2 linked regions of the Arabidopsis thaliana genome follow. The protein of the gene in region 1 interacts with the protein of each later gene in a pairwise test. Each region holds a gene or a part of one and is shown on either strand. Other genes may lie near its edges. The genes, in order: AT4G12210 and IAA29.

Region 1 (3,091 bases):
ATACTACGTAACCCTAAAGCTATTCACAATTCTCTTCTCTCTCAATTTTCTCTCATTACGATTTGCGAAGTCGTCTTCTTCTCTGTTTGAATCTCTTCTCTGTTTTTCTTTTCGTTTCAAAACATGAAATATTGCAAAGTGGAATTACGCTTCATCAACCAAAGGAAACTCTCTCCATCACAACCAAACTCAGTTCTCGTTTTCATCGAAACCAAATCTGAAGAGATCTTTGTAAACCCAACAACCGGTCACCAAACCAGCCGGTCCACTCCGGCTTCACCATCTTTTTTCGATACTATCAATCTCTGTAGTTCTAGTCACCACCACATCCGATCACTTCTCCGTAGTCGGTTCGTTAGCTACCATTTTTTGTGTGATATCTTAGCCCCAGAGATCGCGACGGAGGCAATCAACTTAGGTTTTGGACGAAACGGCTTTACCTTCACCGTGGTCGTCACAGTTACTAACCGGACCGTCTCCGTTACTTCAAACGACACAGAAATCATTGAGAATGGTTCTACTAGAGAGGATAAAAGCAGAGGAATTAAAGAGTTCGAACATGGAAACAGAGTCGTGTTCCATCTGTTTCCACGATCTCTCCAGTCCGAAACCTAGCGATCTCCCACGCATGACTTGTTCTAAGAATTGAAAGTATTAGGGTTTCATCTACTGATTGCATAACTTGTGTCACACGTACGCTCTATATTGGGGAAATTTTATGTGATTTTGTTTATTAAGGTTTCAAATCTAATTTTGTTTCATTCGCTCTGTGCTTCCAGAAATTGAATGTAATTTTGTGCTTTTAAGGGTTTTAAATAAGATCATTGGACCATCATTAATGGGAGGTTATTAACAATGGCTCTTAGCAATAATTTAGGAATAGATTTTGAAAATTTGGTAGTTAAGAGTTTGGGTAAGATTTTTAAGTTTAGTCATCCTCAATGATAGTATATTAAGTTAGGATTCTTAAAAAAAAAAAGATATGATTTTGGTTTATGTGTGGTTTTGTGGAGAGAAGGAATATATGCGATGAAGTAATTGGTGGTGTTTGGTGTATTGACACAAAGATATAAAAGAGATTCATAATTGGTATTTAAGAGTTCATAATCAAAACAAATTTTTGAGAAAAAAATGATTGCTTTCTGCATTTTTAGAGTTAAAAAGCTAGACTTTGAGGCTGAGACCTACTTATATTGTGTTACAGGGAGTGTATTGAGCTAAATATGGCTATAATACAATTTGGAAGTACATGTGTTGCTCAATAAAGTATTCGTCCTCAATTTGCAGTCAGAGCTTATTATCCCAGCAGAATCTAATCAAGTCGCCAACAAAAGTATGATTTTTAAGTCTCTGGATTGCATTGAGTTCTTGACATAGAGGTATTGAAACTAGTTTGATTTACTTTTCTGTGGCTTTAAGCCTTTCAAGGATTTTGATTTGTTTTCATTGCACATCTTAAGATATTAGTCTTCGTAGAATGAAGTTTGTATTTTCCCATGGCCCACACATAGTTTGCCACATCATCGTCTCTTACCATCATTTTTCGCCTCTTGTATAAGAGGCCCTCTTAAGTTAATACATCCTTTAGCATTTAATTTTATTCTCAAATTAATTTAAGAACCCACTAAAAACTTACCAATAATTATTGCTAAGTCTTAAACTAATAAGTAATAACCAAAACCCCTTCAAATCAAACTCTACAAATAAAACTGTTAAAAAGGAAAAAAGGAAACTTCTTAAAAAAAAAGGAAATTGTTAGGTGACAGAGAAAAAAAGGAAACTAGAACCTAAAATATCTGAACGTTGAAGACGCGTATATATATCCTCACTACGTAACCCTAAAGCTTCACAAATTCTCTCCTCTCTCAATTTGCTCTCGCTAGTCACTACGATTTGCCAAGTCTTCTTCTTCTACTTCTCTGTTTCTCTTTCCGTTTCAAAACATGAATTCTCGCAAAGTGGAATTTCGCTTCACCAATCTTCAAAGGAAACTCTCTTCTCCATCACATGCAAACTCAGTCATCGTTGAGATCGATACCAAATCTGAAGAGATCTTTGTAAACCAAACAACCGATCACCAAACCCGCCGGTCCACTCCGGCTACTCTATCTTGTCTCGACACTATCAATCTCAGTAGTTCTAGTCACGACCACATCCGATCACTTCTCCGTACCCGATTCGCTAGCCACCATTGGTTGTGTGATGACCTAGCCTCAGAGATCTCAACGGCGGCTATCGACTTAGGTTTTGGACGAAACGGTTTTACCATCACCGTGGTCGTCACAGTTACTTACCGGACTGTCTCGGTAACGTCAAACAACAAGAAATCTTTGAGGATAGTTCTACTAGGAAGGATAAAAGCAGAGGAATTGAAGAGTTTGAAGATGGAAACAGAGTCTTGTTCAATCTGTCTTGAGAATCTAGTCTCCGGTCCAAAACCTAGCGACCTCACACGCATGACTTGTTCTCATGTCTTCCACAATCCCTGTCTCTTGGAGTGGTTCATGCGTAAAAACACTTGTCCCCTGTGTCGGACGGAGCTCTACGATCGATGACTGGAACCAAAGATTGATATTAGGGTTTTATGTATGAAAATTTCATGTAATTTTCGTATTAAGGTTGAAATTATGGTTTCCATTAGAAGTTAGAAAAAGATTGAAATTAGGGTTTTCGATAGAAAAAAATTCTAATTTTGTGTCACACACGCTGAAGAAATTGAATGTAATTTGTTGTTTTTAAGAGTTTTACTCAATTAGAGAAGTTTTTAATCACAACAAAAAACTACAAACTTTGTCGGTTTTAAGTTATTCACTTGCAAGTTGCAACTCTTAAATTCTTAACAAAATAACCAAAACCCTTCATCAAGCTGTTGCTGAAATTAAATCATGATTCATATGTGTCTTCTTCAATGTGATTGTTTCACCTCTCACATGAAGTCCTTCTGCAGTGTGTCTTTATAATATCCTTATGCAATTTCAACTCTTTGGATAATACTTCAGCTACTTCAACATATTTGCTAGTCACCAATCAAAGTTACGAAATATTGACACTTACAGAGATACATACATTGGCACTTCCCACAAAGTATAAT
Region 2 (4,081 bases), 8.3 Mb from region 1:
AAATGGAAACAAAACATATGTCAATGTCAAGCATACAGCTAAAATATCATTATCTAATATTAAGAGTAAAACAAGATAATTAAAAATTGAAACAACACCATATTTTTATAGCTTTACTTATCGTATTTTTCTAGTCTTCATGGTAATTGTGTTGCTTTATTTTGTTTATAAATGAATTTGGTTCGACCAGATAGTCTAATATCAGTTTTTAAACACTGGTTTTAATAAAATCATATGTCGGCAATTCAACCTGTTACGTTGTATGATTGTATCCTAGTCAAATAGGGGAGGAGGTACTAGTCGTTTCAATTAGTTTACGTAATCAATCCAAAGAAACTATAAGCTATAAAGATCCTCAATTTGTTGGTTACAATAAAAACAACAGTTGTCAAAATTTATGTTTATAAAAAGTAATAACTATGTTCCTTCCCATATAGAGCAAAGTACCTCAGGATAGGCAAACCGTACTTAATAGCCCTTATTCATAATTTGATCCAACTCTTCCCCACAAAATTGCAACTGATGAAGTCAATACTTGTATAGTGAGTCAAGCTATAAATGTCTAGTGATAGTTTTGTCTCTTAAAAGGTTAACAAAAGTTATGACAAGCTGAAAAATCAGAGTTTGCTAGGAGTATTACTTACAGTTATCAGTTTAAGTATCACATTTATAGTATTGTATACAATGATTCTTAAATTCCACCTTTTCCGTGCGAAACCAAATTTTCTATTGGAAACATAGAATGTAAACAAAAATATGGGACGTTGTCCGTTCCAACATTAACCAAACTTGTCTATTACTAATATTCGTGTTGGTTTGATGTTGGATGTCTAAATTCGTTGAATCATGTGTCTCTTGACGAAATATGCATCTTCTTATTTCTTAGTATAGATGCACTTTATCATTCTTTTAGTACATGCTTAATTTTTTTTTTTAAAATATGTTGATTGTCATATTGCCAAAAGTATGAATTAAAGACGCACATCTAACACAAGTTAGCAGCCGTAAATCCTTCCATAAATTTATTTTGCAAGTTTTGCTCATTATATAATGAGCGGAATTTATGATATAATCGTTTGTAATAATGTTATGTTTTGATCAAAATTTGAAATTAAAAGTAGGTGAGAACTTGTTATACAGTGTAGATAAGGTGGATCTTGAATATAAAAATAAAATTTATAAGATGTATTTAAAGCAGAAAAGCATAAAACTTTAGATAAAATAATGTAAAAATGTGTTAGCATCAATGTTGGGATATTGGCCGACCCGAACTTAATCAATGTCGGAAGCCATTACTTCTCTCCCAAAAGACCTTTTTCCTTCGGAGAACTAGGAACTTCCTCACTACCTTTCGCTTAACGTGAAAGCCATAAATTTCATATATTCATAAAAATCAGAAAATCTAAAACTGTTTAGTATCACCTGTTTTTGGTATAGACTATTGGTTTTGTGTTACTTCCTAAACTATATGATTTCGTACTTCATTGGATCTTATAGAGATGAATATTCGTAAAAAGATAAGTTATCTGGTGAAACGTTACTTCAGTCATGTTGGGTCTAGATTTACATACTACTATGAAACATTTTAAGATAATAATTATCCTAGCCAACTATATGTTCTATATTATGGGCCAAGAAGATATAGAACTAAAAGTTCAGAATTTAACGATATAAATTACTAGTATATTCTAATACTTGAATGATTACTGTTTTAGTTGTTTAGAATAAATAGTAGCGTGTTGGTTAAGATACCATCTATCCACATCTATATTTGTGTGGGTTACATAAAATGTACATAATATTATATACATATATATGTATATTTTTGATAAAGCCATATATTACTCCTTGACCTCTGCCCCCATTTCCTTTTACTATAAATAGGAATACTCATGATCCTCTAATTCAGCAATCAACACCAACGAACACAACCTTTTCCAAAGCCAATAATAAAAGAACAAAAGCTTTTAGTTTCATCAAAGACGAAGCTGCCTTAGAAATGGAGTTGGATCTTGGTCTATCTCTTTCACCTCATAAATCTTCCAAGTTAGGGTTTAACTTTGACCTCAACAAGCATTGTGCGATCGAGGGTGCTGCGTCTTGTTTGGGTACCGAAAAACTGCGTTTTGAGGCGACGTTTGGGTTAGGGAATGTGGAGGAAAATTGTTATATGCCAAAACAGCGTTTGTTTGCCTTGAATGGCCAGCCCAACGAGGAAGACGAAGATCCTCTGGAATCCGAGTCTTCAATAGTTTACGAGTGAGTACCTTGACTATTTTAGTATTTGACAACAATTAGGTTAAAGTAGTTACATCTAGTATTATTATATAATAAATGACTCCGTAGTTTTCAAAAATGTTATGATGTTGTAGACTTGTAGTTAACTCAATGGAGAGGCATAATTTGTATTTTTTTGTAACATATAATTAATTTTAATATTTAGTGATGAGGAGGAAAATAGCGAAGTTGTTGGATGGCCACCAGTAAAAACATGTATGATAAAGTATGGTAGTTATCATCATCGTCATATTCGTAATCACCATCATTGCCCGTATCATCATCGTGGTAGGAGGATCACGGCGATGAACAACAACATATCTAATCCAACAACGGCTACTGTGGGATCATCATCTTCTTCGTCAATATCATCAAGATCATCAATGTATGTTAAGGTTAAGATGGATGGTGTGGCAATAGCAAGAAAAGTGGATATCAAGCTTTTTAACTCTTACGAGTCCCTCACTAACTCCTTGATCACTATGTTTACCGAATGTAAGTACTAATTACGTTTATCAAAATCTAGAGTAAGAAACCTATAAACAATTGAAAATAGAACGTAACTTTTTACTACTATTGAATCTAATTTTGGGTTATCAGATGAAGATTGCGACAGAGAAGATACAAATTATACATTCACCTTCCAAGGGAAAGAGGGTGACTGGCTACTTCGAGGGGATGTTACATGGAAGTAAGTTTACTTCTCTATATTTCAAGAAAAATGACTTATTGAGTAATGACTACTATACTCTCTTTCTTATATATTGATACTTAACTTGTTGTTTTGGTTTTGTAGGATCTTTGCGGAATCTGTTCATCGGATATCAATAATTAGAGATCGACCGTGTGCATATACAAGATGTTTGTTTTAAGGATAGGCGTTCAAATCGGACCATTATTTTTTATTTTGTAATTAAAATGTCTATCATTTGATTAAATTTCCACTCGATCTTTTTCCTCTATTCTTCTAGTTCTTAGTATCAAATCCAATGGTTTATAATCTGTTGTTATCTGATCCATGGCTAACACATGGACAAAAAGCTAAAGAAAATTCAAAAGTAAAAAAAACTCATGAATTGTCAAAGACAGACTAGCTGATAATAATTAAGATGTTAGACTTTTTGTGTGTACCGAATTGATTTTTTTTTCATAGACTTGTTTGATTGAGAAACCATAAGAATGTAATGGTTGCGGACGTCCGGGTTTTACACAAGTAAGTATGTCACTTTATGTGATTCAAGAGATTTCCAAGTAATTAAATTTTGGTTTGAATTAGATCGGAGTACGATTTTAAATTGTGAGTAAACAAGGGGAAAAAAAAAAGCATGAGTAAACAGAAAAAAAATGACATAAAAACTGATACATTTCTTAAACAATTTAATTAGCTGAATAGCTGATAACAAAATTTAAAATGAATATTATTGATCTTAGCTTAAAATGCGTAATTTAGATTAAAATATTAATCAATAATGAATGATATATAAGAAAATCTTTTATTAAAATGGTTATTATATTTACAATTTGCATAAAATTATATCATAAGTTTATAATCTTTAAATTAAATAATATGACAAACATAATCTTTATATAAGGAAAATAGATATTTTAGTGAAATTTAGAGAAACACAACTTTAGATCTACTAAAGTTATGAATGAAACAATCAAACAACTGTAAAAAGATCCCTACAAAAATTGAAAATTATTTAATTACCAAACAAAACAAAAAGAAAAGACATCTTCACCGATACGTTCGGTGTTCAGACTTGAGTCTCTCTCGGACACACGGCTCCCGTCAATCCCGGTC

The links.
Region 2: the proteins of AT4G12210 (region 1) and IAA29 interact in a two-hybrid assay, tested with the Arabidopsis thaliana proteins (one large-scale study listed by BioGRID).

The regions. Positions count from the first base shown.
Region 1 is NC_003075.7:7,280,772-7,283,862, reverse strand, and holds AT4G12210 (RING/U-box superfamily protein), read left to right. Parts: upstream 1-1,943; coding exon 1,944-2,555; downstream 2,556-3,091. Other genes in the region: AT4G12220 (uncharacterized protein), read left to right, coding at 124-615.
Region 2 is NC_003075.7:15,581,480-15,585,560, forward strand, and holds IAA29 (indole-3-acetic acid inducible 29), read left to right. Parts: upstream 1-1,852; 5' UTR 1,853-1,999; coding exon 2,000-2,259; intron 2,260-2,443; coding exon 2,444-2,772; coding exon of another isoform or gene 2,773-2,783; exon of another isoform or gene 2,784-2,877; coding exon 2,878-2,968; intron 2,969-3,073; coding exon 3,074-3,149; 3' UTR 3,150-3,419; downstream 3,420-4,081. UniProt on the Arabidopsis thaliana protein: Aux/IAA proteins are short-lived transcriptional factors that function as repressors of early auxin response genes at low auxin concentrations.